2 linked regions of the Tribolium castaneum genome follow. The protein of the gene in region 1 interacts with the protein of each later gene in a pairwise test. Links are inferred from orthologs where the notes say so. Each region holds a gene or a part of one and is shown on either strand. Other genes may lie near its edges.

The links.
Region 2: the proteins of Exo70 (region 1) and Prp19 interact in a two-hybrid assay, tested with the Homo sapiens proteins (2 studies listed by BioGRID and IntAct, with this or other methods). The link is inferred for Tribolium castaneum from reciprocal best matches to the Homo sapiens genes EXOC7 and PRPF19.

The regions. Positions count from the first base shown.
Region 1 is NC_087399.1:7,152,457-7,164,986, forward strand, and holds the end of Exo70 (exocyst complex component 7), read left to right. Parts: intron 1-748; coding exon of another isoform or gene 749-772; intron 773-822; coding exon of another isoform or gene 823-1,047; exon of another isoform or gene 1,048-1,087; intron 1,088-1,143; exon of another isoform or gene 1,144-1,166; 5' UTR 1,167-2,714; coding exon 2,715-2,765; intron 2,766-2,810; coding exon 2,811-2,976; intron 2,977-3,049; coding exon 3,050-3,249; intron 3,250-3,301; coding exon 3,302-3,643; intron 3,644-5,750; coding exon 5,751-6,110; intron 6,111-6,155; coding exon 6,156-6,335; intron 6,336-6,380; coding exon 6,381-6,615; intron 6,616-6,667; coding exon 6,668-6,884; intron 6,885-6,932; coding exon 6,933-7,041; intron 7,042-7,091; coding exon 7,092-7,225; intron 7,226-7,275; coding exon 7,276-7,378; 3' UTR 7,379-7,426; downstream 7,427-12,530. Other genes in the region: stet (uncharacterized protein LOC657740), read right to left, coding at 749-772, 823-1,047; Dis3l2 (DIS3-like exonuclease 2), read right to left, coding at 8,034-8,270, 8,318-8,888, 10,019-11,091, 11,367-12,020; multiple inositol polyphosphate phosphatase 1, read right to left, coding at 12,233-12,392, 12,450-12,530. UniProt on the Homo sapiens protein: Component of the exocyst complex involved in the docking of exocytic vesicles with fusion sites on the plasma membrane.
Region 2 is NC_087395.1:23,121,865-23,134,911, forward strand, and holds Prp19 (pre-mRNA-processing factor 19), read left to right. Parts: upstream 1-5,544; 5' UTR 5,545-5,552; coding exon 5,553-5,676; intron 5,677-5,798; coding exon 5,799-5,948; intron 5,949-5,992; coding exon 5,993-6,456; intron 6,457-8,710; coding exon 8,711-9,435; intron 9,436-9,484; coding exon 9,485-9,629; 3' UTR 9,630-9,756; downstream 9,757-13,047. Other genes in the region: replication protein A 70 kDa DNA-binding subunit, read right to left, coding at 11,934-12,047, 12,094-12,288, 12,339-12,582, 12,724-12,950, 13,006-13,047. UniProt on the Homo sapiens protein: Ubiquitin-protein ligase which is a core component of several complexes mainly involved pre-mRNA splicing and DNA repair. Required for pre-mRNA splicing as component of the spliceosome.

The sequences.
Region 1 (12,530 bases):
TTAATATTAAATGCTAAATATTTAAATTTTATTAAAACATATTTTTTTAACTTAACTCAAAAACTCAAAGGAATTTCGAAAAAAAAATAAAAAAATGATCACAATTTCAAAGCACTTAATGATGTGCTTACTATTTTTAAGACTAAGGATCGGTTTATAAACGTCATTAATTTAATCCGCAATTAAATGCGTGATTAACTGATCACGTGACCAAATTGAGCCAATTTGATTGGTGTATCGGCTAAATTTAGGGAAATCTCATGAAAATCCCTTTAAAATAACTTGATTTATCTAGAAACGCAGTAAAAAACATATCTTTTTATTCAAAATAAGAAAGTTAATACCGACTTCCGGTATAACCGGAAGTGCCGCCATGTTGAAAATATCGCGGCTTTACACAATTTGCAGATACTTATAATTATTAGAACATTCAGTACTTTTAATATGCCGTTTAAGCGAAACAGCCTGTATATTGTGGCGTTTATTTAAAAAGTTTTTCTTTTTAGGTTTACTTGATTTTCAAAATTTTGATTTTTCAAAGATTTTGGCGGTTTTGAATATTTTTTTTTCTGAGATTTGACATGATGGCCAGTTTTTGATAAAATTACATAAAAGACACGTAATAGACATCAAAAAAATAAGAAAACATGTTCACTTGTGATATTAAAAGATGCTAAAAGCGAAAAAAGCACTTTCCATACTCATCAGAAACAGTTATTTGTTGGATTTTTTGATCATCCGTGTGTACCTTGTCGAAAAACTGGCGCCATTGCTGTAATAAAAAGTATATATTTTGTGTTTTTTGCATTTTTGGGCGCTCACGTCTCGTAAAAGTGTTCGTTTGAGTTCGGCCTCGTCCGATTCGCTCGCCAGATCCGTGTGATCCGTGTCGTAATGATCCGGAAACGAGGCCAAAGATCCGGTGATTGTCGCTATGTGTCCGGGTTCGATTCCGGATTCCGATGATTGGGCATGAGTAAGATTTGTTGGCAGGATTTGGGTGGTAGAGGGCGACACTCGATGAGGCCACGCCGAGTGCGACAGCATAATACCGGTAACTGCATGGACCGGTTTGCGTCTCGGCTAACTAAAATTTGCAATTTATGCCAAAAAATTGTCTTTGCATATTGTTTTTTATTTTACTACTGTTATTGTTGTTGTTACAGCTGTGAATGATCCTTGTCGCCGATTAAGTGGTACGAAAACTGAAAAAATGGACGAATTTTCCTCACAGCACCATTCACAATCGGAAAAACTCAACGAAAAGGTTTTCCTCGCACTAAAAAACCATACACCTGTCTCAAAAAAACTGAAAAAAAACAAAAACACGCCACACGTTCTGCACTCCGGCAATTTCCACTTTTCCCCAACGTCAACTCGAAATTCCCCTATCGTGAAAATTCATCCCCTCTCGAGAAAATCGTAAGGTTTCATTGATTTTAAATCTAGTCGGCCGGGGGAAGATTGGGGTGGTTTTGGCCGAAGTTAGGGTGAAACATTTGACGGGCGACAAGCGTGAATCACAGAGGGTGCGTGTCTAGACCAAATAATCAGAAATTCCGTTTCTTTTCATTAAATTTAAGGGAGAATTAGATTTTTTCGAATCGTTTAGGGATTTGTTGTTTGTCAAGTTTGACAATGTTTTTCTTTTAAATAATCATCTTGCTTTCGCAGTAATTATACATTACTTTATGTTTTCCACCCAAATGCGCGAAGGACGTTAAAAACGTATAGAAAATTTCGAAAGTAGCACTTTATTTAGAGTACAAATATTTAAGGGTTAGGATATGAAAAGATGTAGAAAATAAAACGTTCCCGTCCTATGTTTTCAGACCAATGAATTTGAAAAAAAAATTGTATACCGTTTAACACATAGCAAAGAAAAAAATATAGGCACATAGAATATTAAATTCTCCATAGTAGGACATAAACATAATACAAAAATTTTATCGTAAACTATATTTAAAAAAACTTGTACCAATTTGCACTCTACCCCATATTTTTCAAAACGCTGTGAATAGAGTTACAGATGCAAGAAAAATGTTAAAAAGAAAGTTGTAGAAAATTAAATTTTTTACAAAAAAGTCCGGGACACCATGTTTTTATGAAGATAAAAACATGAAGATAAACTGTTGAAGAACAGTTTAGGTATAAATTACGTTTCCGTTACTTGAGCGTTTTTGAACGTTTTTAGAACCTAAACTGTTGACGATAGAGATATGGCGTCACGAATTTTTTATATTAAATTTATTTCTCTACAAATTTCTTCAAAATTATTTCCTTGTATCTTTAACTATATTCGCAAAGTCTTGAAAAATACGGGACGAAACGCAAATTGTAAAATTTTAATAATTTTTTTTCTCGTATTTTTTTATGAAAATTTTAGACCATTAAGAGTACAAAGCTCAATATTTTCGCGTTTTTTTTCAAGTAATAGTGAATTCGTTGGGTTTAAATAAATTTGGCGCCGAAACAATATAACGTTTGAAGCGCCCTCATTTTTACTCCACCGGACTATTTTTTTGGGTTCAGATAATTTTGAGATTTCGTATTTTCTTTCGTCTCCTAACTTATAGTCCTCCGTAGCATTCTCTAGTTTAGGGATTTGCCAATTGTCAAGTTTGTTGATTTAGTAACAAAAGACGTCAATAATGTTTTGCTCGTAAAGTCTTCAATTTTGGAAATAATTCTCCAAAATATTGGGATTAAACAAGATGAATATTATCGAGGAACGCACTTATGAGATTACAAGCAAATTGGAGAAAGTCAGTGATTTGGTAATCGTGACATAATCTAACTTATGCCCGTAGGAGAAATCTAACCTATCTTTGCTGACTGAAAGACTGAAAAAAAGCTCTCAAATCACGAAAGGCATTGATACGATTCTCAATTCGTTTGAGGAGCGTCTTTCACGGCTTGAAGACACTATTTTACCGGTCTACAATGATACCGAAAATTTACAAAAATCACAAGTCAGTATCCTTGAAACGCCCCTAGTTTTCGTCTCAAATATCAAATTTAGTTGATTTTCCTTGACTCAAATAACCAGATATCGACCAAACTCTCACATATCTCGACGATGTTATAAGCTATTACAACGTATCAAGTGACGTTGAAAGCACAATTGAGAAAGGACCTGGTGAGAGCGGTATCGATTTAGACGACTACATCCACTCATTAAATCGCCTGGCGAAAGCCCAGAAATATTTCGAAAAACACATCCCCCAAAGCGTGGAACTCGAAAATGTCGTACGTCTAACCCCCATTTTTTAGGTCAACAAAATTTAAAACAGGTTTTTAGACCACTTTATTTCATAAAGGTAGCGACAAACTCAATTCCGAATTTAAAACAATTTTGGACAAATACAACACTCCAATGCTTCCGGTCGTTCTCCTCGATTTGATCAATTACGAGAATTCTGACAACCGCGAAAAGCTCCCACCTGTTCAAATTCCAGACCATACGAAAGCCTATTTGATTAAAATCGCAAATTGGCTACTTGACAACGGCCGAGATGAATATTTAACAGTTTATGGTAAAGTGCGTGGGGCTGTTTTACAGCGGTCTTTGACCATGTTACGCAACCACCAGAAGAGCGTAAGCGGTGGGAGTGTCCATGGTGTTGCCAGTTCACCAATGCTGGTTGGTAACTTGTGCTGGTACTAGGGCTGGGCAAGATAATCGAGTAATCAGTTGATTAATCAAATAATCGGTTAATCGTTATTGACACAAAGTACGTTCAAATATAAAAATTTTATCCGGAATTTTTCGGAACTATTCGGGTTTTTCCGTCGGAAATAAACCTTTACTCAGATGGCGCTACGGATAGTGGCGGCAAATTTGAATTCAATCTAAACCTTGTTCGTTTTTTTTTTCATTTAATAATAAAACAAAATTATAAATATAATTAAACACTAACAGAAAGTACTAAATATAAATATTAGACTACTTACAGATCATTTACAACATAAGTATAGTTTCAGACACAATAAGTTATCTTTTTAGACGTTTCTGCATGATACAATGGAGAATATTAGAATCGAAATACTGGAAATTTTTATTTGTCTGTCCTAACCTTCTTTACTTCCGCTTCTGCTTAAAATTGGTTTCACTAAAGAATTATTGTAAATTAAGAGTGTTAACTTCTTACATTAGAGAGAATTAGATTAAGAATACGTGATAAATACTAAATACTAGATTGGGCTTTGGTTATGCGGTTTTTTCTGTAGTTATAAAGTGTTTTTTGTTGGAATTTGAAAGAGAACTAAAAGTGTAGAAGATTAATTTTTTGATTACAAAATGTTATTAAAACAATTGTATACTTAAAGACTATAAGTAATGGATCATAGCGAGCACATGTTGGGCTCAAAAAAAAAGACAACAAATTAGTGAAGTGTGTGAATTTTAAGTTAGAATTTTTCCACTAAAAAAATCATGTAATACTTCGGTAAATTTACAAAACTGCAATTAAGATTAACAACTGCTGTTACATTTAAGCATAAGTTACAAAAGGTGGTCTTTTCAATGTCTGTAATAATTTTACGTAATATTAAATTACGTATTATGCTAATATCATAAAATAGTGAGAAACACAAACAAAAAGAATAAATAAATACTGCAAGAAATTTTGCAAGATTGTATTTCAAGTGTTTTTTTTTACCAATATCTTTGAAACTAAATGGTCGTAAATTTTACATTAGACTCAGGCTATTCTGATAGTTTCGAGACAATCTGTTATAACACTTTAATTATTTTGGTTTTATTCCTTTTTTTAGCCGTACCACTTGATAAATCTAACATTTTAAACAGTACCTGAAAATAACTAATTAAATGTAACTAAAAATAGTTAATTAAAAATACAAAAAAAAATAAAAAAGGGCTTAAATAATGATCAATTAATTTTTTATTTTAAAACTTTTGGTATTTTGAGAGCTTTTTCTAATAATATTTTTTATACTATTGATGGTACCGTAAAAACAAAAGCAGATTTGGAATTCTCTGAAAATTCTGCATTAGATTCCAGTTATTCTGATTGTTTAAGAACTCAAGACAAGTTCTTATAACTTATAACATTTTTTGGTAATTTGAAAAGTAATTTTATTTTATTTTTTACAGCGGTACCATTTTTATAAATTAAATTGTCCAGGCAGTATCTAGGAATTAATCTATCTAAAAAGTTATTTACTTAAAAATACTAAAAAACTAGAAGAAAAGAACTTTAAAACCTATCTAATAAGTAGAATTTTTCAAGTAGTTTTTTACTAATATCTTTTAAACTATTGGTCATACCGTAAATACAAAAACAAATGTGGATTTCTCAGAAAATTTCGCGTTAGATTTCGGCCACTTTAATTATCTAGAATCTTGAAACAATTTTTTAAAACACATTATTTGGGCACTTTATGGTAATGTAAAAATTAATTTTGGTTTTATTCATTTTAATTAATTAATTATTAATAAATTATTATTATTATTATTCTTAATTAATTTAATTAATTAATTTTACTTTCGAATAATAACTGAGATCCCCATGGTGGTCGCCCATTATATCACCCTTTGTGTGGTATCTACCAATATCGCATATTTTGTTTTTGTTGCCATTCTGAACCAGTTGTATATTCTAAAAGTAGGTAAACATTTTCCAACTGTTTTTCTAACTGTCGATGTGATTAATCGATTACTCGAAATCAAAATCGCCCAGGCCTAGTTAGTACCACTCTAATACCAACTTGAGAAAAACAAATTGTAGCGCCCCAAATTTCAAAACCGACATGAAGCTAGTCGCAAGCCATCAACGCGCCGCCTCCACCACGCCTTCGAACGCAAAGCCAATCGCATGCTTTTAAAAGCATCGCAAACGCTTGAACATTCGACAGGTTTCACTCTCGGCACCCGACGCGCCTCCTCCCACCTCGACCCCTCCTACAACGGGGAGGAGTTTGACAACGAGCAAGAACTAGAGAATTATCTAGTGTGCGTGATCGCGCTACACAAACTGATGCAAATCGAGCAAGCCTTGATCAAGGGCATAATCGCGCCAAGGCACCAGCCCCGAGTTTTCGAATTGATAGTCAGGGAGGCCATGGACACAATCGTCCAAGATGGCGAGGTTTGTAGCCAGGGTTGTGTTATCACTTTTTTAAAAAGGTTTCAGAATATAGTCTCGCGTGCGAAGAAATGCATCAGTCGGCACGATTTCGGCACAGTTTTGGTCGTTTTCCCGATTTTGAAGCAGCTGCGTTCGCTGAAACCCGAGTTTGAACGAACGGTGGAGGAGTGCGATTTGAATGTCAAGTCGAAGTTTGACGCCATTTTGGGGATGTTGCACTCGACGGTGAGCGATTTGATTGGTTGTTGGTGGTGTTTGATTGGTTGCTAGGGGGCGAAAGCACTCGAGGACTTCATCGAGAGTTTACGGTCCGATTCGGTGACGCAGTTGCCTAGCGACGGGACCGTGCACGAGCTCACAAGCAACGTGATCATGTTTTTGGAACAATTGCTCGATTATACCGACACTATTGGCATGGTTCTGGCACAGGATGTTAGTTATTCGAGACAATTGGACCGTTTGAAGGCCGCTGACACGAACAAGGCCCTTCTGGGCCTTTATATTAGTAATAATTTTTGATCAAACTTGAGTGGACGTTTTTATTTTTCGAATTTTAGAGAAGGTTTTAGTGCAGTTGAACCACACGTTGATTAGTAAAAGCGAACAGTATAGTGACCCAGCTTTGAAGGCAATTTTCCGCTTAAATAACAACAATTATGTGCTGAAGTCGCTCCAGCGCAGCTCATTACTGGAGTTGTACCTAATTTCCGAACCGAAATGTGAGGAATATTACTATAACTCTATCCAAGAACACAAGAAAGCTTACTCGCAAAGGTATCAGTAGTGAATGGGAGGGTGGCGCCCTCTATGTATATTTTTCAGTTGGGGCAAACTCTTGAACTACATCTGGTGTGACGACTCGCCTGTTAATCTTTTGCACGGTGATAAGCTCCGTGATAAAGACAGGGCCGTAATTAAGGAGAAATTTGCTGTGAGTGGCCTTAAAACCTAAAAAATGGCGCCACAAAACGGTTTTTTCAGGGTTTTAATAAAGAAATTGAAGACATCGCCAAAGTTCAGCGCGGATATTCGATTCCAGACGTCGAATTGCGCGAAAGTATCAAAAGGGATAATAAAGAGTTGATTATTCCGAAATACAATTCGTTTTATAACATGTAAGTGAGTTGGTTGTGTGTAAAAATTAAATTGTGTGTGTGTTTCACAGGTATGCAGGTGTCCAATTTACAAAGAACCCGGAAAAGTACATCAAGCATAAGCCTGATGAGGTGTCCGCGGTTATTGACCGTTTCTTTGATGTGGCGGCCTAAATATAGAATTTGAAAGTTTGATAAATAAATAAATTTTTCCGAAACTTGGGTTTTGTCATATTTTTTGTGCCCCCAGCCGATTTTTTGTTGCCATAGGCGATTTTTTGTGCTATTTTTTGTGAGCTCCGACAAAATTGATTTTATTTTTCAGCACTAGAAAATTGTAATTTTGTAATTTTTCGAAAAGTCGTTTTTTGTCGAAGTTTTTGTGACCATCGCCAATTTTTTGCGCCATTTTTTGCTACCACCCGCGATTTTTTGTGCTATTTTTTGCGAGCTCCGACAAAATTTATTTTATTTTTCAGCACTAGAAAATTGTAATTTTTCGAAAAGTCGTTTTTTATCGAAGTTTTTGTGACCTAGCCAATTTTTTGTGCAATTTTTTGCTACCACCCGCGATTTTTTGCGCTATTTTTTGCTACCACCCTCCATTTTTTGCGAACTTCAAGAAAATGCATTTTATTTTTCAGCACTAACAAATTTTCACTTTTCGTAAAGTTGTTTTTTGTCGCAGTTTTTGTGACCATAGCTGATTTTTTGCTCTCTTTTTTGCGACTACAGCTGATTTTTTTATGGGGGGACGGGAGGAAATAAAGTTTCGAATTTTTAACAGTTCGTTTATTTTAATTTTTTTTTTAATTGCTTTGAACTCGCCTTACACGAGTTGTATCGGCCTCAACAATTTCGCGTCCAATTTGTTCGTTTTGTGCTTCCGTGCCAATTCGACTCTCACCAACGTAAAAATTTCCAAAACGATGCAAACTTCCGGTTCCTCGACAGTCCTTGGAAATTTAACAAAAATCTTCCACATCTTCTTCGCAGTTTCCTCATCGCTTGAACTTTTCCTTACTTTAATTTCCTCACTTTTCCACGTAACTTTATCCCCAAAATTCTAATAAACAAAACATGACAAACAAAAACAAACCTAACACAACTTACATTTGTATAAATCCTGACAACACTTCCCGTCCTAATCACAATAACATCAATAGACCTTTCTTTCGCATCCACAACCACTGCATTTTCAATCACTGGTTGATTCTTTTCGACAAAATGGGCCAAAAACAGGTCACTACTAGCCTCCCCGGCCCGCTTGGCGTGATATTTCTGCCGGTTACACGTTTCGGCAATCGTTGCCACCTCCTCAGGCGCCCAAGTGGGTTTCTCTCGATAGTTTAAACTCGCTGCGAGCAGTCTGTGCACCATTATGTCAGCATATCGACGGATTGGTGACGTAAAGTGGGTGTAGATGGGTATACTGAGGGCGTAATGACTGTAATCGAGCTCCTCCTCAAGGGCACCGGCACAAAAATATCGCGCCCTCTTCATAGGCTTGGCCAGGAGGTGGTTGAGGACGATCATGCGGGCTTTGCCAAAATCGTCCTCACTGATGTACTTGTTCAAGGAGGCTTGGATGCCCCCCGAAGTGGAGATGTCGATGTGGAGGCCCAGGGTTTCGAGGCTTTTTTGGAGCTCGGTCATCATGGTCGGCTTGGGCGCCTCGTGAAGTCTTCACAATTATTATTATTATTTCATTTATTATTGATAAACATAAAAATAAATGGTGCAGACTACGGAGGACTATAAGTTAGGAGACGAATCGCGATACTTAATCGCAGGATTTTCTGAACCCAAAAAAATAGTACGGTAGAGTAAAAATGAGGGCGCTTCGAGCGGTATACCGACTCGGCGCCTAATTTTAATTATTGGAAAAAATACATAAATGTTAAATTTTGCATCCTAACAGACTGAGAAAAACTGACGATTTAAATTTTCAAAGGAAACTACAGTAAAAAATTATTTAAAGTTTATGCTTTGGTAAAGCACTACCATGTATTGAAAGACCGAGAACAAAAAATTGTTACCAAATGCAGTTTCGTTTTTTGGGACCGAATTAGAATTCGGAATTAAGTTATATTAAATTAAACTGTTAGCTTAAAATCAATCACTTTATAAAGGCTACGTGATTCCAAGACCATTTCGTTTTGATTTTGGTCTACAAAGGGATTTAAAAATATTAGGTGGTACATATTATTCTGATTTAAAAATTGTGTCAGATGTAATAAATTGTGCAAGAACCAAGGGCTCGAAGTATTGGAGAAATTATAAATAGTTATTGTAATGTTTAATTATATGTTCTTCCAAATTTTAATACTGATTCAAGACCCAAATTTCTTAATTTTTGCTATACTATTTAATTTAGTTATAAAGAAATATAATAAAAAATAAACAAAACACAAAAATATTTTTTTTGCAAACAAAATTTAGCAAAGTTTCAAACCGAAATATATAGATTCCACTGGAGCGGACCAGTAGCTCCCCGAACGGCCGTTTTTTTGACACTGGACAGATAACGAAAAAACCAATAACTAACTTTTTATTAAACTTCTTGTTGGATTTCCTTGGCGTGGAAAATATTTAATTTATTTAAAAATATTTAATTTATTTAACTTTTTATTAAACTTATCGAATTGGCATGGGGGTAACAAACGTAATTTTGAAAATTTAAGATTTTTAAGATAATCTATTTTTAAAACCATAATAAATCGAGTTTGTGTAGGAATATGTACTTCTGGGTGTTGCCAACTTGATTTAACTTTGATTGAGTTAAAAAACATTGTAAAATGGTGAAAAACTCACCTCAGAAAGGCCAGGTCCGGGTAGGCCTCATTTATCCACTTGGCCACGGTCATGTTGGCCAAAAGCATAAACTCCTCTATTAATCTATGCGCTGGTTTATTTTCACAAATGTAAAACTCTTTCGGTTCTCCGGTTGCTGGATCCAGCACGAAACCAATTTTAATTTGATCAATTTTCAACGACCCATTTTGCCTCCGTTTCTCCCTCAAACAAACGGCAATCCTTTGCAAATCATTGACCCGCTTACTGAGATCATGTGCATTAAACCCGTTGTAAATCTCCGGAAGCTCGTCTCGTTCAAACTTCCGGTCCGGATCATCAATCATGACTTGCGCATGCTCGTAGGCTAGTTGAACACATGAATTGATCACTGATCGCTTGATCCGAAAATCGACTATATCACCAGTCGGTGTCAACTCCCAAAAAACACTAAATGCGAGTTTATCTTCACCCGGAAGTAGCGAACAATGGAAGCACAACTCCACCGGAAGCATGTGATACACACTGTCAACCATGTAGATCGTAGTAGCTTTGCTTTTCACAATTTCGTCCAGTCGCGTGTTTTCCGGAAGGAAAAACGAAGCATCGGAAATGTGAACGCCAACTTCGTAATTCCCATTTGGCAACTCCTTGCACGACAAAGCATCGTCCAAATCGCGTGCTGTGATTGGATCAATCGTAAAAACACACTCTTTGCGTAAATCCTCACGATTTTTTAAGTCACTTGTTGAAATTTTCGAACTTTTTGGCAGGAATGGCCTGATATCGTCACCGAACGGAGTCGGATCGAGACAAAATTCGCGCAAAATCGCCAAAGACTCGATTTTGAGATCACCACTCAAACCCAAATTCTCGGTAATCGTGCCTATGGCATACTTTACGTCTTTCCAATCCGTTATTTTAACGATGAAAAGAATGTCTTGGTATAGTTGGGGTTTGGATTGGAAACCACTTGGCCAACTTATTCTCGGAATTTTGATTTTCGGGATGCGTTTGTCGCGTGGGGTGAACAGGGCGTACTCTTTATTCTTTTCAATGGGGGCAAGGAAACCAACAGCGGTCCGGGGGTGAATCTGGAACGAACCGCCACTGGTGTAACAATTGCGATATAGGCAACCAAAAATACAAGGCGACACGAATTTACGAATCTAAGGCACTTAAATTGAAAAATTACATATGTTTTTTACAATTATGAAACAATTCTTGTATTCACACTCACAATTATGTTAATTGAAAAATTTTGAGGCACAATTAAATAAAGCCGGTAAAGTAAAATCCTGTAAATTGTTGACGTTTGTCAGGCATAGGCGACTCGTTGAGTAAAAAAGGGGTTTGGTTAAAAAAATACCTTCTTTGTGATGTAAACAACCTCCATGGTCTTTTTCTTATCTTCCGTTTCTGTTTTGAGCCTCAAAACGACCTCGTCGCCGTCAAAGGCCCGGTTCCGGTCCAAAACGGACGTAATCATATAATCCGTCTTGGAAACATCCTCATTTCCCACATAACTTTCTTTCGCATTTTTGGGGTTAATCCTAATATAACCCTTCATCAACTCCCTTGTTTCCAGCCCGGACTCGACCTCCGCCTCGCTTAAATACTCCGGGAAAAAAACACGTTCTTTCCGCTTCCCTTTCTTCTTTTTCGAGGAACTAGCTTCGCGAATTCCATTAACAGCCAAATTGGAAATTTTCTGTAAGAGGTTTAGGGCCGAGTTGGGGTCACAGCTTGGCACTCTCGTGTGAAATAAACTGCACTTGAGCAAAGACTGTAAGTTGATGGGGCCTTGGGACTGGTCTCGCAGTTTGTAGACAGTGGCATGGGGGCTGCCGACCGGTTGAATGTGGAAAGTTGGCAGTAGAGGCAGCAGGTCGACGTCGGGGGGCGAGTCAGTGTCTTTCTTGGAGCGGGTGCGGGGCTTCCGACGCGTGCGTTTTTTCTTCTTAAGGTCAGGGTCGGTTGTCTTGACGGTCGTTGAGGTGCTTGGTCCCGGGGAATTTGTCATTTTGATAAGTTTGTGGCGAAGTAAGAGTGAAAAAATATTGTGAAATGTCGATAAACGTCACATTTTTCAAGTGCCAGTAAAGTGGGGTTAGGGTGCAGTCAGCCAAACAAATCTTGAACAAAACATTAAATAAAAAGTTGTGCACGGATGTATTGCTGGTTGCATAACACAGATATAAATCAAACGAAATATAAATTAGAAAAACAATTTATTTACAATTCGTTTTCGCACATTGTGTCAAAAGGACACTCCAAATCTTTGTTGTAATAATTAATAAAAGTGTCAAAGTCGCACAAATCGCTGTTTGGGCAACTTTGTAAACGGACAATGTCCTCCTGATGCATTGTCAAGACTTTTTTCCGCCCTTGGCAGCTAAAAATGTAGAATAATTAATTCACAAATCCTTGTAGCACCACACAAATGCCTTACTCAAATAAAATAAAAATTAAATTAGTGCCAAACGAATCAATTTGGCTCACTTTCCAATTTCTGTCCGAATTTTTATCGTAA
Region 2 (13,047 bases), on another chromosome or scaffold:
ACGATAAACTGTAAAAACACTTAGAGAGGAGTTTATTAAAATTAGAAATGTAAGTATTACAATTTTTTGAGATCAAACAACTATTATTTTGAAACGTGTTTTTGGCTTTTTCGTTAAATACAAAGTTCAAATTGTTTTAAGGAATGAATTCACTGTTGAAGCGCCAGCACCTTCTTCGAAATGTCCATAAGAGTTGCTGTATTCTGCGCATTCTAAAAGCCTTTCTCATTGCAATGTTCAGTTGAATTTAGGGACGATCTGATTTATTTTTACGTGAGTGAAGCACAAGTTTGAAGGTTTCATGGTATCTGTACACATAAACTGTAATAACCAGGGTGAAATTAAAGACGATCACCGAATTTATTGTTCTGATTCACCAATTTTTCAAACGTGAAAAAATCTTGACATTTTTGACGTACGTTTTTGAATTTTGATGGTGGAGCCATCTGTAGAGTGTATAATCGTTATTGTTGCCCTGTCAAGGTCCGTGTCGCTACTTTAGTATATCTACTGGCTTTGGTATACACCGGCTCTAAATACGGTGTTGAAAAGTCATAGTTTGAGTGACTCATTTTAAATTCAGTAACTAAAAATTAAATCAAACACTCAAACAGTTTATTGCCACGTAATAATTTTGTCTTTAATTTCAATGAATGAAAGTGGCTTGCTCAAAATTTAATGCAAAGAAACATTTTTTTTTTGGTTTCTTTTTTATTATTATTATTTTTTATGCTACAAACGGTAGCCAACGTGGAAGCGAAACACAGGTACGTCCATTTTATTGTTGTGTCGTATTTATTTATTTCACAAACCAATAATTCGTTAAAATTTAATTGCAATTACAATGTTGCTCTAAATACGGTGTTGAAAAGTCATAGTTTGAGTGACTCATTTTAAATTCAGTAACTAAAAATTAAATCAAACACTCAAACAGTTTATTGCCACGTAATAATTTTGTCTTTAATTTCAATGAATGAAAGTGGCTTGCTCAAAATTTAATGCAAAGAAACATTTTTTTTTTGGTTTCTTTTTTATTATTATTATTTTTTATGCTACAAACGGTAGCCAACGAGGAAGCGAAACACAGGTACGTCCATTTTATTGTTGTGTCGTATTTATTTATTTCACAAACCAATAATTCGTTAAAATTTAATTGCAATTACAATGTCGTATACACCGGCTCTAAATACGGTGTTGAAAAGTCATAGTTTGAGTGACTCATTTTAAATTCAGTAACTAAAAATTAAATCAAACACTCAAACAGTTTATTGCCACGTAATAATTTTGTCTTTAATTTCAATGAATGAAAGTGGCTTGCTCAAAATTTAATGCAAAGAAACATTTTTTTTTTGGTTTCTTTTTTATTATTATTATTTTTTATGCTACAAACGGTAGCCAACGTGGAAGCGAAACACAGGTACGTCCATTTTATTGTTGTGTCGTATTTATTTATTTATTTCACAAACCAATAATTTCATAAAATTTAATTGCAATTACAATGTCGTATACACCGGCTCTAAATACGGTGTTGAAAAGTCATAGTTTGAGTGACTCATTTTAAATTCAGTAACTAAAAATTAAATCAAACACTCAAACAGTTTATTGCCACGTAATAATTTTGTCTTTAATTTCAATGAATGAAAGTGGCTTGCTCAAAATTTAATGCAAAGTAACATTTTTTTTTTGGTTTCTTTTTTATTATTATTATTTTTTATGCTACAAACGGTAGCCAACGTGGAAGCGAAACACAGGTACGTCCATTTTATTGTTGTGTCGTATTTATTTATTTATTTCACAAACCAATAATTTGATAAAATTTAATTGCAATTACAATGTTGCTCTAAATACGGTGTTGAAAAGTCATAGTTTGAGTGACTCATTTTAAATTCAGTAACTAAAAATTAAATCAAACACTCAAACAGTTTATTGCCACGTAATAATTTTGTCTTTAATTTCAATGAATGAAAGTGGCTTGCTCAAAATTTAATGCAAAGAAACATTTTTTTTTTGGTTTCTTTTTTATTATTATTATTTTTTATGCTACAAACGGTAGCCAACGAGGAAGCGAAACACAGGTACGTCCATTTTATTGTTGTGTCGTATTTATTTATTTCACAAACCAATAATTCGTTAAAATTTAATTGCAATTACAATGTCGTATACACCGGCTCTAAATACGGTGTTGAAAAGTCATAGTTTGAGTGACTCATTTTAAATTCAGTAACTATAAACAAAATCAAACACTCAAACATTTTATTGCCACGTAATAATTTTCTCTTTAATTTCAATGAATGAAAGTGGCTTGCTCAAAATTTAATGCAAATAAATATTTTTTTTTGGTTTCATTTTTATTATTATTTTTTTATGCTACAAACGGTAGCCAACGTGGAAGCGATATGAAGGTAGGTGCATTTTTTTGCATTTTATCTTGTGATGTGTTGAATTTAATAGCTTGTGTGCCATATATTATACCGTATTGTGCATCCTTTATTCTGTATAATATTTATTAGTGTCGCTTGTTGTAACTTTCCTACAAATTAATTTTTTTTGTTGGTTGTGTTTTTAATTTATTTTTTAGGTTTTGCTACAAATGGTAGCAGATGCAGTATAAAGGTAAGAGCATTTATTTAACGCCAAGTGAAAAAACTTTGATTTTTGTGTACTATTTTTTCATTTCACAAACCAATAATTCTTTTATTCCCTTCATTTTCAAATAATCATTGTTTACCTCATCCTTATATCCTTTTTTCCTGGCAAGAATGCTCTAAACCTCCACGTGGTTCTTGCCGGACAAATTAGTTATTGACTAATTTGACCAATTAGAGCAATCCTTAAATATAACATTGTTGATTGTTTTTTACAGCCGTAAAATTATGTCGCTTGTTGTAATTTTCATGCAAATAAAGATTTTTTTATTGGTGTTGTTTTTAATTTTTTTTAATGCTACAAACGGTAGCCAACGTGGAAGCGAAACACAGGTACGTCCATTTTATTGTTGTGTCGTATTTATTTATTTATTTCACAAACCAATAATTTCATAAAATTTAATTGCAATTACAATGTCGTATACACCGGCTCTAAATACGGTGTTGAAAAGTCAGTTTGAGTGACTCATTTTAAATTCAGTAACTATTAATAAAATCAAACACTCAAACAATTTATTGCCACGTAATAATTTTGTCTTTAATTTCAATGAATGAAAGTGGCTTGCTCAAAATTTAATGCAAAGAAACATTTTTTTTTTTGGTTTCTTTTTTATTATTATTATTTTTTATGCTACAAACGGTAGCCAACGTGGAAGCGAAACACAGGTACGTCCATTTTATTGTTGTGTCGTATTTATTTATTTATTTCACAAACCAATAATTTCATAAAATTTAATTGCAATTACAATGTCGTATACACCGGCTCTAAATACGGTGTTGAAAAGTCATAGTTTGAGTGACTCATTTTAAATTCAGTAACTAAAAATTAAATCAAACACTCAAACAGTTTATTGCCACGTAATAATTTTGTCTTTAATTTCAATGAATGAAAGTGGCTTGCTCAAAATTTAATGCAAAGAAACATTTTTTTTTTGGTTTCTTTTTTATTATTATTATTTTTTATGCTACAAACGGTAGCCAACGTGGAAGCGAAACACAGGTACGTCCATTTTATTGTTGTGTCGTATTTATTTATTTATTTTACAAACCAATAATTTCATAAAATTTAATTGCAATTACAATGTTGCTCTAAATACGGTGTTGAAAAGTCATAGTTTGAGTGACTCATTTTAAATTCAGTAACTAAAAATTAAATCAAACACTCAAACAGTTTATTGCCACGTAATAATTTTGTCTTTAACTTCAATGAATGAAAGTGGCTTGCTCAAAATTTAATGCAAAGAAACATTTTTTTTTGGTTTCTTTTTTATTATTATTATTTTTTTTGCTACAAACGGTAGCCAACGTGGAAGCGAAACACAGGTACGTCCATTTTATTGTTGTGTCGTATTTATTTATTTCACAAACCAATAATTTCATAAAATTTAATTGCAATTACAATGTCGTATACACCGGCTCTAAATACGGTGTTGAAAAGTCAGTTTGAGTGACTCATTTTAAATTCAGTAACTATTAATAAAATCAAACACTCAAACAATTTATTGCCACGTAATAATTTTGTCTTTAATTTCAATGAATGAAAGTGGCTTGCTCAAAATTTAATGCAAAGAAACATTTTTTTTTTGGTTTCTTTTTTATTATTATTATTTTTTATGCTACAAACGGTAGCCAACGTGGAAGCGAAACACAGGTACGTCCATTTTATTGTTGTGTCGTATTTATTTATTTCACAAACCAATAATTCGTTAAAATTTAATTGCAAATAAAATGTTGTGTACACCGGCTCTAATACGGTGTTGAAAAGTCATAGTTTGAGTTTTAAATTCAGTAACTAAAAAGAAAACACTCAAACAATTTATCGTCGCGTTTTGATTTTGTCTTTAATTTCAATCGATGAAAGTCACTTGCTCTAAATTTAATGCAAACATTTTTTTTTGGTTTCATTTTTATTATTATTATTTTTTTAATGCTACAAACGGTAGCCAACGTGGAAGCGATATGAAGGTAGGTGTATTTATTTACTGAAGTTTTAAATTTAAATTGCCACATATTAAAACGTATTGTGTATTTTTTATTTTGTTTAATATTGACAAATGTTGCTTGTTGTAACTTTCATGCAAATAAAGATTTTTTATTGGTGTTGTTTTTATTTTTTAATGTCTTGCTACAAACAGTAGCCAACGCAGAAGCCATATGAAGGTAGGTGCATTTTTTTGCGTTTTATCTTGTGATGTGTTGAATTTAATAGCTTGTGTGCCATATATTATACCGTATTGTGCATCCTTTATTCTGTATAATATTTATTAGTGTCGCTTTTTGTAACTTTCCTACAAATTATTTTTTTTTGTTGGTTGTGTTTTTAATTTATTTTTTAGGTTTTGCTACAAATGGTAGCAGATGCAGTATAAAGGTAAGAACATTTATTTAACGCCAAGTGAAAAACTTTGATTTTTGTGTACTTTTTTTTTATTACACAAACCAGTAATGTCTTTATTCCCTTTTATTTTCCAATAATCATTGTTTACCTCATCCTTATTTCCTTTTTTCCTGGCAAGAATGCTCTAAACCTCCACGTGGTTCTTGCTGGACAAATTAGTTATTAATTTGACTGATTAGAGCAATCTTTAAATACGAATTTTTTTAACGCAGTTTGCAAAATTGAGACATTTTTTTACAGCCGAAGGCCCTATCGAAGGGCTTATTCCCCTACAAAAATAATGAACATTGCACGGTAAAAAGGGGGTGAAAAAAAACAATTTGCATTGCTTGAATATAAGAATAAAAATGTAGTCAAGTTTTAATTTGTAATAGAAACACATTAGAATGATCAGGGTATGTTTTTCTAATGATTTACGATTATTTTGATAATTTTCCTGGTGTGAACTTGGCTGTAGAAACGAGAATGTTGCTAGCTCCAGGCGCGCAACGATTGTCTGGTCGACTGTAATGTTCATGGTGCCATCATCATTTTTAGTGCATCTGCACAGATATCTCGGCCACAGTGTTTTTCACTTTGTGCGGTTGGCGACACATCAAGCTAAGTTAGCAAAAATGGCGTTGTTTTGTGCCCGTAAGTATGAATTTTTGTTGCGATTTTGAATAAAGTACGCTTTTTTAACGAATCAAAACTTAATTCGAGTGTCAGTAATGAGCTTCTGGCGCAGTTTGGGTAACGATTTGGCCCGGTTTCAGTTTCAAACGAGGTGCCGGAACACCCAGTCGTGTCCCCAACGTCGGGTGCGATTTTCGAAAAACGCATCATCGAAAAGTACATCCAGGAGCACGGCAAGGACCCCATCAGCGGTGACGAGCTCACCGTGGACAAGCTCATTGAAATTAAGAGTGAGTAGCCTAACCCAACTTGTTCGGTTCTAACCGCCACACAGCCCCGCCGATAGTCAAGCCGAAGCCGCCGAGCGCCACCAGCATCCCGGCCACGCTGAAGCTGCTGCAGGACGAGTGGGACGCCGTGATGCTGTACAGCTTCACGCAGAGGCAGCAGCTGCAGACGGCGCGCCAGGAGCTGAGCCACGCGCTCTACCAGCACGACGCCGCGTGTCGCGTGATCGCGCGCCTCAACAAGGAGGTGACCGCCGCCAGGGAGGCGCTGGCCACGCTGAAGCCCCAAGCGGGCATCATCACGGTGCCGCAGCCCGCGGTGGCGGCCGAGGCCGGCGGCATCGCCAACCAGCCGACAGAGCAATGCGGCCTGACTGATGAAGTGATTGAGAAGCTGCAGGACAAGGCCACGGTGTTGACGCAGGAGAGGAAGAAGAGGAGCAAGACGGTGCCTGAAGAGGTGTCCACGCCGGAGCAGTTGAGGGGATTCAAGACTTTGGCCTCACATCCGGTATATTTTCAATGTTTTTATTTATACCATCCAGTATTTCCCCGAACATCTCTTGCATTTTGCACAATTGTCGTTTTAAAAATTTCACTTGACAAATGCAAAGATTACTAAATGTGGTAGAAAATGACTTAGTTTTCTCTCTTACGAGTGTTTTAGCACATTTACCAATTGGAAAAACGTGTAAAGGTTGGTGTTATTTTGCTGGATTTACTCGATTTAGCTTGTTATTGGGCGAAATTTCATCAAAAATAAGCCAAAAGTCACAGGATGTGTTCAAAACACTGATATTTTTTAACTAAATGTTCGTTCAAATAAAAGAATTTCTTTCTAACCTAATTCTAATTGAATTGAGCCAAAAATGCGTTGTTTTTTTTAAGTAAATATCTAAATATTTCAATAAAGTGATCGAAAATGATGTCATTTCAGGTTGTTTATCTCGAACTTATTCTGAGAAATCAGGAAATTAATTTGGGAAATCTTCTATTTTCGTAATACATTTTGCAGTCAAAAAGCAAAATTTCGTTGAAATCTTGTTATTTTTGCCATTTTCCGGCAATTTAATTCGTATAACATTCGACAATGTAGTTATTTCGAATTTTTTTTTTAAGATAAGAGCGAAAATGTTACATTTTTTTGTTGTTTTCAAGTGTTTTAAATTTTTTTTGAAAACAATTTAAGCTTTTTTCTATAAACATTACAAAAACTTAATAAAAAAGCACTATTTTTACATCAAGATGGTTGTTATTTTAGACCATTCCCTTCGATTTTGTTTGTTTTTGAGCCAGGAATTTATTTATTTCCCAACAATAAAAATATAAACTTATTATTTTGTTTTTATTAACTTTGATTAACTTTCGCGAAATTCCCTTTAAAAAAAAACGCAAGAAACCACAAAATTTGATCAAAATTTTTACGTTTTTTAAGCTTTAGAGCACGTTTTTGAATTTAATTTTCAGCTTTTTTGGCGAAATTTTGCAAAACCAACTGAGAAAAACATGCAGAAATAATTTTTCTGTTTTTTGAGGCTTTTCTAAAAAGGTAGATGAAAAAAACACCAAATTAATTCTAAGATTTTATTATTTTTCGAGTTCACGAGCATTTTAGTACGCTTTTAAGACAGAACTGTTTTCCAAATTTCGTAAAAAAAATAAAAAGCCGACTCTTTTATTTTACGAGATCTTGACAAAACACCTAAAAATCAAAAACTTATTATCAGCTTATTTTTGAATGAAATGTTCCCAAAAACAAGACAAGAAACCAATGAAATTGTTAAAATTCTTATTTTTTCTTTATTCATGCTTTCAAGCACATTTGAATTTTTGTTTTAATCGCCAAATTAAATATAGAAAACTACATTAATTTTTCATTTGCGATCATTTTAATACGTTTTACACTTAAAACCACAAATATTCCGCAAAATTTCGTTCAAAACCATTCGGAAACTAATTTATTTTGTAATATCTTGTCACATAAGTGAATCGACATTAATTATTATTTAATTATTTAGTATATTTGAGTTTGAGTGAAATTCGTCAAAACTCATTATAAATAAGTCGAAAATTGTGTTAGTTTTACTTTTTTCCGGGCTGTAAGCACAAACTTTTGCTAGAATTGGCTAAAATCATCAAATTAATTAACACAATAACAAGTGTTCATTTAAAAAAAACTCTAGAGTGCTTTGAAAATAAAAAAATAATTGTTTACTATGTCTGTGATTAATCCGTTCTTTCATAACCTTACTTTTTGACAACTAAAAGAAAACAGATTTTCATCATAAAATTTATTTATTATTTATAAAAACTGTTGGAAATGTCTTCCTTGTTGTTCAACACACATAACACATCGCCTTTGAACACTATTTAACAATCTTTGGCTATGAATTGTGATGACCTGGTTGATAGGCAACCAACAATACAATGATAAAAATTGATCTACGAAATCCGTAAAAATGTCAGAGCATGCTACGAGTTTTTTTTAAATAATGAACACCTGATACCATTTATTTAGTTCGCTCTTGAACCAGGAAATTCTTCATTTCATTAGAACTCGCCAAAACTGCCAAAAATTCACTTTTAATTCAGCTCATTTTTTGACCTAAATTTGGTTAATCTTTTTTTACTTTTATTAAGGTTTTGAACCACATTTTCAGTTTGTTCAAGCAAACCGAAAAATCACCAAGTTCGGGCGAAAATTAGCAGATTACATTTTTTATTGAGCTAGAGTACACTTTACAGAGTAATTTCTTTGCCTCCAGGGGCTGCATTCGGCGAGCGTCCCCGGTATTTTGGCCCTTGACGTGCACAATTCCGACACAAGCAAAATTCTGACCGGTGGTAATGATCGCAACGCCACCGTATTCAACAAAGACACGGAACAAGTTGTGGCGATTCTCAAAGGCCACACTAAAAAAGTCACAAAAGTGGTCTACCACCCTGACGAGGACCTTGTTATCACCGCATCGCCCGACTCCACAATCCGCGTTTGGAACGTGCCAACGTCCCAAACCACTCTACTGCTGCGCGTCCACGAAGGTCCAATCACCGGACTGTCCCTGCATCCGACTGGGGACTACGTCCTGTCGGCTTCAGAGGACCAGCATTGGGCGTTTTCGGACATCAGAACGGGCGAACTGTTGACGAAAGTCGCCGACCAGAGCAATATTCCCCTGACGACGGCCCAGCTGCATCCAGACGGGCTGATTTTCGGCACGGGGACGGCGAATTCCCAAGTCAAGATTTGGGACCTGAAGGAGCAGCTCAATGTTGCGACTTGCACCGGACATGCGGGGGCGATCACAGCCATTTCGTTCTCGGAGAATGGGTATTACATGGCGACGGCTGACGATGCCTGCGTCAAGTTGTGGGATTTGAGGAAAGTGAGGAACTTTAAAACGCTCCAGTTGGATGAGGATTACCAAATCAAGGACTTGTGCTTTGATCAGAGCGGGACCTATTTGGCGGTGGCGGGAACTGATGTCAGGTAAACAATTTTTTTAATTTTGATTTGTTTCTAATTTTTTTTTTCTTAGGGTGTATTTCTGTAAGCAATGGCAGGAACTGAAGGTGTTCAATGACCACACGGCTGCAGCGACGGGTGTTAGGTTCGGTAAAGACGCCAGGTTTATAGCTTCCACTTCCATGGACAGGACATTAAAATTGTACGGTTTAGATTAGGGATAAATTGACTGCGAGTTGTACACAATAGTTTGTCGTCTTGCATTTCGCATAATTAGGTCTTAAAGTACGATTACTTTATGTTAATGTTTATTTTAATTTTACAAATAAAGTGATTAAATCTCAACTTGTTTATCTTCCGTCCCTAAAAACCTTTCCTCATAAGTGACCTATAAGCGCACCAAAAGCATGCGAGGCTAAATTTAAATTCGTGCTCTGACGTTAACAAAAAAGAGACTTCTACTCTTTACTTGATACGAAATCATTTCACTTAAACTTGAAACTATCTAAATTTTCTTTCGCTTCTTAAAATTTTTATCAAAATTTGAGAAAAATGTGTAAATCACAAAATGCGAAATATCTCAGTTCCTGTGGGAGATAGAGGGGTGGTTCTGCCCTTTTGAAAACCCCACTGTCCCGTAGTACTTTTCCTGGGCTATCGAATGGAGTGGGTCCCGTTCCCGTATCTCAATCAGGGACCGAAATAGCACTGCACATTTTTAAATCGGGAATCGAAGTACATGACGTAATAGAGCGTCAAAAGTTACGTGTGCATGCAAAATTTCAAGTCGTTACGACAACCGGAAGTGCCCCAAATTTAAGTTCAAAGTATTCATAAATTCGGAAGAAAACAAAGCAAGTTGATAAAAACTGCAAATAAAAAACTCTGGCTTTTTTGTTAAAAGTTTTTTTAATGTGATTTTATTTCACTTAAACTTGAAACTACCAAAATTTTCTTTCGCTTCTTAAAATTTTTATCAAAATTTGAGAAAAATGTGTAAATCACAAAATGCGAAATATCTCCGTTCCTGTAGGAGATAGAGGGGTGGTTCTGCCCTTTTGAAAACCCCACCGTCCCGTAGTACTTTTCCTGGGCTATCGAATAGGCTAGGTCCCGTTCCCGTATCTCCATCAGGAACCGAAATAGCACTGCACATTTTTAAATCGGGAATCGAAGTACATGACGTAATAGTGCTCCAAAAGTTACGTGTGCATGCAAAATTTCAAGTCGTTACGACAACCGGAAGTGCCCCAAATTTAAGTTCAAAGTATTCATAAATTCGGAAGAAAACAAAGCAAGTTGATAAAAATTGCAAATAAAAAACTCTGGCTTTTTTGTTAAAAGTTTTTTTATGTGATTTTATTTCACTTAAACTTGAAACTACCAAAATTTTCTTTCACTTATGAAAATTTTTATGAAAATTTGAGAAAAATGTGTAAATCACAAAATGCGAAATATCTCCGTTCCTGTAAGAGATAGAGGGGTAGTTCTGCGCTTTTGAAAACCCCAGGGCACCGTAGTATTTTTCCTGGGCTATCGAATAGGCTAGGTCCCGTTCCCGTATCTCAACCAGGGACCGAAATAGCACTGCACATTTTTTAATCACTAATCGGGGTACATGACGTAATAGAGCGTCAAAAGTTACGTGTGCATGCAAAATTTCAAGTCGTTACGACAACCGGAAGTGCCCCAAATTTAAGTTCAAAATATTCATAAATCCGGAAGACAAAAAAAAAAGTTGATAAAAACTACTAATAAAAAACTCAGGCTTTTTTGTTAAAAATTTTTTTTAATGTGATTTGTTTGGAGTCATTTTTTGCGAATCAATTTTGAGGCACTTCCTGTTATCGTAGCGACTTGAAATTTTGCATGCACACGTAACTTTTGACGCTCTATTACGTCATGTACTCCGATAAGTGATTTAAAAATGTGCAGTGCTATTTCGGTTCCTGGTGGAGATACGGGAACGGGACCTATTCCATTCGATAGCCCAGGAAAAGTACTACGGGACGGTGGGGTTTTCAAAAGGGCAGAACCACCCCTCTATCTCCTACAGGAACGGAGATATTTCGCATTTTGTGAATCTCAGGTTTTATAAAATTTTTGCTAATTTTTATGAAATTTTTTGAAATTTTACAAAAATTTAGAAAAATAGCACTTTATTTTTACAGTGGTAGTTTTCATCCACAATTTCTTCTAAATGCTCTTAGAGCCTGGTTTTTCATATTTGTTAAAAAACATTAAAAAATGTCACTGTCTTGTTAAAACCTCTTTCTAATACACATTTTGGTTTTAAATTATAATAAAACTTTAATCTAAATGATAGGCAATCTACAATACTCTAGTTTGTATAGGTGGCTGCCTACGAACAACTTTTAAAAATTGCAAGATTTTAATCGATTTGTGAAAAGTAAGCTGTTTTTATACGTTGGCAATGGGTTGGAACCATTTTGCTAAGAAGAAGACAAAATCCCCAACAAAACAATAATTTATTTGCGAAAGTTACACAACAAAAGCAATAATCAATTACAAGGAACTCCAGTGAATTTTTCAATCCTGTCCACCAGGTAAGCATTGTACTCCTCGTAATCCACTGGCGCCACAGTCACCACAACAGTCTTCATTTTCTGCTCATCCTGCAAAACAACCATAGAAAAAACACCCAAAACGCCGGAATTGTACATTGTAGGTTTCAATTTTGGCGCGACACTTGAAAATAAATTGCTTAAACTGCGCCTCTTCAAACATATTTGCTACAGTATCAGGATCCGTCTCCATCAGCTCCCCAATTTCCTGCGCTGTTTTCCCCAAAATTTTCTCCGCTTCTGAGGAAAAAACAGTAACCCACTGACTACTCGACGAATCGGCCACGTTCATCTAAATTAAATTTAAAAATATACTTGGGGAATCCCACGTCTGATTTTTACCGAAACCAACAGACGGTACTTGAAATTCGGAAATTCCCGGTTGCATTTTTCACACCGGTACATTCCATTCTCCAAATCGAGGACCTTCTTCTGGCAATCAGCGTTCGGACACGACTTGTACACCGCTCTGTCGAGGCGAACCAACAAAATCGTCCCGAAAGTTTGGTAGTAAAGCGGTTTTTCGGAAATGGTCTGTTGGCGCGCTTCTTTGAACGTCAGCCATGGCGTAGATCCGTATCCGTTCCTATAAAAAAAATACACAGTAGAACCTCTTTAACCCGACAGATGCCTTAAAGATAATAAGTTCGTTGTATTCATGTATTTTTTGTCATCTACAAATAATAATACAGAGTGTAATTTTTAATTGTAAAAAATAAAAACAAACCTATGACTGACATTCGTTATTTCCACCTGATTCCCTTCCGAATGGTACCACCGCCTCAAAATGTGGGTTTCCCGTATTTCTGGGTCAATTTTAAGCAAACTAGTGCCCATCAAAGTGATACTTTTCGCACCTCTAAATTCATAAATCTTTGCATTTTTAACCAAAATCACCGGATTACCGGTGACTGCGAACGACTCTGCCTGTGAGCCCCACAAATTCAGAGAAATCTGCCCAAAAACACGAATTTAAAAAAAAACACCCAAAAAAAACAAAAAAAATTACCGCGGTTTTGGTCTGATCGACTAACACGAGCTGTCTTTTCTG